2 linked regions of the Caenorhabditis elegans genome follow. The protein of the gene in region 1 interacts with the protein of each later gene in a pairwise test. Each region holds a gene or a part of one and is shown in the gene's direction. Other genes may lie near its edges. The genes, in order: arrd-24 and bra-2.

What was found.
Region 2: the proteins of arrd-24 (region 1) and bra-2 interact in a two-hybrid assay, tested with the Caenorhabditis elegans proteins (one large-scale study listed by BioGRID).

What each region holds. Positions count from the first base shown.
Region 1 is NC_003284.9:13,978,455-13,982,313, reverse strand, and holds arrd-24 (Arrestin C-terminal-like domain-containing protein), read left to right. Parts: upstream 1-1,796; 5' UTR 1,797-1,807; coding exon 1,808-1,989; intron 1,990-2,033; coding exon 2,034-2,139; intron 2,140-2,233; coding exon 2,234-2,396; intron 2,397-2,439; coding exon 2,440-2,549; intron 2,550-2,594; coding exon 2,595-3,074; 3' UTR 3,075-3,245; downstream 3,246-3,859. Other genes in the region: F48F7.6 (Zf-C4pol domain-containing protein), read right to left, coding at 3,534-3,859.
Region 2 is NC_003281.10:909,588-913,073, forward strand, and holds bra-2 (MYND-type domain-containing protein), read left to right. Parts: upstream 1-1,673; 5' UTR 1,674-1,690; coding exon 1,691-1,831; intron 1,832-1,876; coding exon 1,877-2,206; intron 2,207-2,258; coding exon 2,259-2,432; 3' UTR 2,433-2,656; downstream 2,657-3,486. Other genes in the region: crls-1 (Cardiolipin synthase (CMP-forming)), read right to left, coding at 1-280; F23H11.5 (Deltamethrin resistance protein prag01 domain-containing protein), read right to left, coding at 531-611, 741-875, 920-994.

The sequences.
Region 1 (3,859 bases):
CAACTCGACAATAAGAAGCACATGAACTCTCGAACTCTCTTATTATTATTTCACGTATTATCCACATGTACATTCCTTGATCGAATCTATCATATTCGATCATTCCTCACTATTCTATCATACTGCACTCTTCTGCTTTCTAATAAAGCTCTTCTATTATTATTACAAAATATATAACATTTACTCTCTGGCTTCACCGTATTTTTTACTCTCGGGCTTCACCGTATATTTTACTCTCTGGCTTCACCGTATATTTCCCGAACTTTACCAATAATCTTAGAAAAAAATTGTCTATTCAGGGCCATATCAAGTCTCCCAAAATTCCAAAATTTTTTTTTTGTAATTTCGTCAAGGTATATGCCTGTAAAAAATAATTCGGATACAGAAACCCCTCTAGCGTGGCTTAAATTTAATTTCCAGGTCCCGAACTTTACCAATAATCTTAGAAAAAAATTTTCTATTCAGGGCCATATCAAGTCTCCCAAAATTCCAAAAATTTTTTTTTGTAATTTCGTCAAGGTATATGCCTGTAAAAAATAATTCGGATACAGAAATTCCTCTAGCGGAGTTCAAGCAGAAAAAGTGGATTTTCAGTCATACCTTTTAGTGCACAGTTTGAGAATGACTAAAAACGACCATGCAAAATTAGTAGATTTTCCAATTTTCAAAAATTAGAATCTGGCGTCAAACTAACTTTTTCAAAAATCCTGTAGCCATTTTGTTGCAAATTTTGTGTTCTTTCAGAATTTCGAAACCAAATTCAAAAAAGTGTGAAGCCAGGGAGTAAAATATTCTGTAAAGCCAGAGAGTAAAATATTCTGTGAAGCCAGAGAGTAAAATATACGGTGAAGCCAGAGAGTAAAATATTCTGCGAAGCCAGAGAGTAAAATATTCTGTGAAGCCAGAGAGTAAAATATACGGTGAAGCCAGAGAGTAAAATATACGGTGAAGCCAGAGAGTAAAATATTCTGCGAAGCCAGAGAGTAAAATATTCTGTGAAGCCAGAGAGTAAAATATACGGTGAAGCCAGAGATTAAAATATTCTGTGAAGCCAGAGAGTAAAATATTCTGTGAAGTTAAAGGCATGAAACTAAATACTCAAGATCGTCTTTTGTACATTACACTTCCAATTTAAGACTTACAGTTCCATTTCTTGCACTCCATGCAATCGTTTCTCCAGAGACGTAGTCAACTTCTGCAGAGTAGTGCACAATTTCAGTATAACTTTCCTCTTTTCCTTCACAATTACTAAACTCTTGTATGTCATTAGGTCTAGATGTCTTGGAGCTTACGTTCTGTATCGTCGTTCCCCTTCACTCCACTTCGTATGCGCAGCACCGTGAAAACAGATTTTCAAGAATCGGGCAGTGATTGGCTCGTTGGATCTCAAAACAACCTGCCCAGTAACAGTTTGACCTGGTGCATAACCTCTCGGGCTATCGAACACAATTCCAAAGTGATCCATATGTTCCATATCTAAACTAAAAAGATACAAGGAAATTTAGAATTTTAATTAAGGAAAATGTTGTATGATTATAAAATGAATGAAAACTGATAAAATGAAGTGGTTATCAAATAAATTGCCGTTTTATAATATAAATATGATTTCACAAAAATCAAATAACGCACGGTATAAGACTGATGACGACATTTTACCTCCTGATTACGCGTTTTGAGTCACAATATATTATAAAACGGCAATTTATTTGATAACCACTTCATTTTATCAGTTTTCATTCATTTTATAATCATACAACATTTTCCTTAATTAAAATTCTAAATTTCCTTGTATCTTTTTAGTTTAGATATGGAACATATGGATCACTTTGGAATTGTGTTCGATAGCCCGAGAGGTTATGCACCAGGTCAAACTGTTACTGGGCAGGTTGTTTTGAGATCCAACGAGCCAATCACTGCCCGATTCTTGAAAATCTGTATTCACGGTGCTGCGCATACGAAGTGGAGTGAAGGGGAACGACGATACAGAACGTAAGCTCCAAGACATCTAGACCTAATGACATACAAGAGTTTAGTAATTGTGAAGGAAAAGAGGAAAGTTATACTGAAATTGTGCACTACTCTGCAGAAGTTGACTACGTCTCTGGAGAAACGATTGCATGGAGTGCAAGAAATGGAACTGTAAGTCTTAAATTGGAAGTGTAATGTACAAAAGACGATCTTGAGTATTTAGTTTCATGCATTTAACTGATAACAAACTACAATATTGTTACAGGAAAAACTTCCATCTGGCCACCATGTCTTCCCGTTTGCATTTCCACTCCCGATAGAATGTCCACCTAGTTTTGAAGGTTTCCACGGCCACGTTCGTTATTCCGTGCGAGTTGAGCTTGACAGACCATGGAAGTTCAACAAAAACGAAAGGGAAGACTTCAAAGGTATTTCGAAAATTGTTAATGTGCGCAAAAAGTTATTTTTCAGTTATTCCCAACTTTGACTTGAATCATCTTCCGTTGGGAAATGTTCCTAGAATGATGAAGGATGTGAAGGACATTGGGCAAATATTTAAAAAAGGAATAGTAACAATAACTGTGAGTACAACGCTGCTACATTGATAGGTTATTTAATGCTTTCAGGTAACTATCCCCAAAGCAGGATATGCTCCTGGAGAATACCTGCCAATCACAATCGACATTGACAATGCTTCCAAACGTGCAGCAACGTTTGTGCGAGCTGAACTTCATCAGCACTCGCATTACAATGCTAGCAAAAACCATGGCCTCTTATGCACTCATTCGTCTTACCACGAACATCACAAGGATGAAAGCAAACGTATTGCAGAAGCTCGAAAAAGCATAAAAATTGCTCCAAAAACCGCTGGCCGTGAAATGCTGCGGATGAAAATCCCAAAGTCGCCACCAACATTTACAAGTCCCATTATCAGCATTGAGTATTGTCTTTCTGTGAGGTTGGACACTTTAACAACCCTTAATAATACATTGCACTGCGAGTTTGATATCATCATCGGCACAGTGCCAATAACTGAATCGATCGTGGAGCCAACGGTAACTACCTTTCCGTCTGATCCACCTGTCCTTGAGCGGCTGGATTCCTAACCTCCAGCCTATTCAACTGTGGTTCCAAGTGCTCCGACCGATGATACAGCGGGAACATCCGCTCTACCGCCGTCTTATGAGGAATCAATGTGTGTAACTAAAATTTAATTGGGTATTTTATTTTATTTTTTCTTGTATAATTGTGAATTAATAAAATTCTGGCCATTTACATTAGTCAATCAATTTTCTTTCTCTATTGCTAAACATTGAGTTTCAAAAATATTCATTTGGCAAAAAATAAGGTAGGGTAGATTCAAAAAACTATAAGGATGAATTGTAAATTACAAGTTTATTACAATCAACAGATAAGTTTAAAAAAAAACATTTCAGAAAATAATATGAGGAGTAGTGATATTCGAGATTGACGGTGAATTTTTATAGACAATTTTACAGGATTTTTTTGTGAGCCACTTTTTGTGCAGTAGTGAAACAAGATAACAGTGCAACGACGACAGCAACTTATTCTAAAAGATAGGAAATGTGAGTGGTTGTCCGGCCATAGACATTTGGACAATCTGCTTTAACAAAGACAGTACGTTGAGCAAGGCAGAAACGCTCAATAATTTCCGATTTCTTGGCCACAAGTTTGGCGGCAAGTCTTTGGCGAACACCTTTATTGTCTTCCTCTGCGTGTTTGTATTCAGATCTTTGCATTCGACGAGCTTTACGTCCTTGCTTTGCCAGAATGTGCTCAACCTCCTCTTCTGATTTTCCCTGAGCAATTGCTACAGCCTTCATCTCTCTTACAATTCTGGCTTGAACAATGTCCAATTGTTCCATGCGAT
Region 2 (3,486 bases), on another chromosome or scaffold:
CCGTTGCTCCGGCGACTGTAAAAAGCACGAAAGCAGGAGTAAAATTGTGTTGAACAACAAGATATCCGATGAGTGGAGTCGCCGCGATTCGTGCTGTACAAATTGCATTAGGGATAGTCGCCACTTTGTATTTGCCGCGTTCTTCCGGTGGTAGTGACTCTATTTTTGGACTTTGCTTCTGCTCCAAACTTGAAAAGTTTCGTAGCATTCGACGAGGAGTTAGCAGTAGTTGAAGCTCGCAGCGGCAAGCAATACCACGAAACATCGATGTTACTATCATTTCAACACTTCCGCAGTAACATTAGCGATTCAAATCTGAATTTCAATTCAGATCTCATATGTAAATCAAGCTTTCGCAAGTACAAAAATTCGATAAAACAGTTAGACAATCGACGGAAGTGACAACAGTCAAAAATTGTTCATTTGCCACATAAGGCGAAACCACAGAAAGTTGTCACGACATATTCGGCTAAACTAAAAATTGGTGAATACAATAAAGAAATAAATCGATCATCGAGGCAAATGAGCATTTATTTGCGATTGCGATAGCTCTGTGGTGGTCTGATGGCTTCTTCGAAGGCGAAGAGGTTAGTGTAGATGGCGGTGGCGAACTGTAAAATGTTGAATTATTGAAAAAAAAAACCCCGCGACCTAGTAAATTTTTGTTTGTTTATGGAAATCCATCCTGAATCTCACTAGCAATCGTTAATGTTAATAAAAAAATATAGTAAAATACCAACCGACGAAGCGAAGAAAACCGCTGACACTGCAAGATAGGTGTTGAACTTTCCCTGGAGCTCGCCGTAGACCTTCTTGTAAGATTGGAATGGCACTGGCATCAAGTCGAAGGTGCATGGTGGTCCCGGGTTGGCGACCTGAATAAATACGCTGCTACATTGAACCGAACAATAAACAATACGTGATGTCCGTGCCCGTGACGCTTTTGTGCAAAACGACTAAGAGCCAAGAAGCGGTTGAAAGCGGTACGGTTCATCCTGAAAACAATAATTTATTTTCGAAAGTACCAAAAATTATTGTAGATGGAAAGTTGATTAAGAAAAAAGTCTGCAAACCTCAATTTATGCTAGAAAGCAGTATATTTCGAAAACCTATGTTAATGGGGTTATTCAAGTAGTGTCGGAAAATTAAAAAGTGTAGAAAAATTACGTCACAACTGTATTCAAGTATATAAAAACATGTATTTAAATACATTTGTGACGTCACAAATGTATTTAAATACATTTTGCTACATTACTTGAATAATGATTCTATGCGCAAAAATGCCGAAATGTCTATTTTAATATATTACGAGTAATTATTTTACTTAAACCACCACGGAAAAATAAGAATAATCGATAAAATAACTTTTAAAATAGGAGAGAAAACGAGCGGGCGGCCTTGAATCGATTACGCTAAACAACATGCGCACCGTTATAACGGAGTGTCGTTGACAAATATTTGTTTCTTTCTCTGTTGCGCGTACGGTAGCTCTTTGTTATTCGTTTTTCTTGCTGTGATTCAGATTTTTAAAGTGTTTTTTTGATAAAAATAATTTCAACAGTCAATTCATGTTCTTTTATACGTATTAACTGATTTATATTCTTGATAACGCCTTGAAAACTACTCTGAATACTGTAGAACGTTCTATCGATTTTTCACAACAATTTTTTCAGTTAAACCCGTGCAAAAGATGGCCGATGGGCAAGTGCATGATGAATTGATGATGGATCAGCAACAACAGCAAGGAGTGGTTCCTCAACAAGGTGATATTCACCTATCGCCGATCGACAAGGATCTCGGAGATGCGGCGTTAGAAAATAATGTGCGGCAGGTCAGTTTTCAATGAAATTCCTGTCGAAAAATCGATTATTTTCAGTATCATCTCGATGGAGTGGTCGTCAGTGAAGGGATGAAACGAATGATAATCGACCTGCAACGTCATTGGCTCAGTGAGTATCACGCGTCACGTGAGAAGTGTCTTGTAGAGCTTACCGAGAAGTTGCATCAAGAATTCATGATGGATCAACAGAAAATTCGATCGGAACTCTTACAACAGTTCAAAGACGAGTTGGAACAGACAAGAGCCGATCTAGAAAACAAACACAGAGAGAACTTGAAGATGGAAAGTGCAAAGTTGAATGAAAAGCATAAAAGAGAGTTGGTTGCATCAAGAAAGAAACAATGGTGCTGGTCGTGTGATAATGAGGTGAGTATATTTGATTCCATCTATGAAAGCAATGATATTATCCAAATCTCAGGCTATATACCATTGCTGCTGGAATACCGCATATTGCAGTGTTGAATGCCAACAGGGACATTGGCAGACTCATCGAAAGTTTTGCCGCAGAAAGAAAGGAAACAATGCTCCTGGAGCACCAAGTGTACCAGCTCCTCAACAAGTCGGAGCACCAATGCCGCCACAACAACAATAATTTTCTTTCGTTTTAACTCTCTAATCATCATTATCATCAATCTCACGTCAGAACACGAAACTGAATAAATTTCAACCACCCACCACCGCACAAATGCGACGCTGATCTCACCCACCACGTCTATTTATATTCCAAATCCTAATGAGTTTCTGTTATTCTTCATCTTTATCAATTTGTCGAACTTTCTATGTTTTCCTTGTTCAATAAAAAATTTAATTAAATTGATTTATGGATATCGTGTTAACAGATATCGAGTTAACACACGCGTCTTCATCTGCGGAAAACTTCTTTTCTAGGCCTATTAGGAAAAATGTGTGCCAAAAGTCAGAAGAAAAGTTTAGAAATGTGGAAATTCTAAAAAAAATTTTTTTCAGTATGGGTATTAGCCCAAACAATGCAAATTTTCTAAAAACACTTGTAACTTGAATAATATTGCAGTTGGAGGTACATACTTGAATAACCCCATTAAAAATAAACTTAAGCATCAAAAATTTTTGGTTTTTTTGGTTTTTCGAAAAATTCAATTTTTTGTTTTTTTGGTTTTTCAAAAAAATCAATTTTTTGTTTTTTGTTTTTTGGTCTAAAATTTTTTTGGTCCCAGCCCTGCACAGTACCACTACAGTATCCCAACAGTATCCCCCACTAACTACAACTACGTCCGTAGCAAAAGAGTAAAAAGTAGTAAAAGATCTGTGTAGGCAACTCGTAGTAAAAGAGATCACGTAGTAAAAGAGCCAACTGTAGTAAAAGATCTGAATGCGGAATTCGTAGTAAAAGAGATTCTGTAGTAAAAGAGATTACATAGTAAAAGAGATTCCGAGATATTTCGGCGCCAAAACGGTAGGAATTCTCGTGATCTCATGGTTTCTTAATACTTCTTATGAAATCTTACAATTGAATGTGTTCGTGTTTCCTAAACATCATTTACTATATATAAAGCGCGTGTCCTTCTGTCCCTATGTAGTTTGATCTCTGATCAGAGCAACGAAATTTTGGGAAACCTTATGCTAAATGCGCAGCAGACATCGATCGAGGTCCGCGATAGACACCGTAT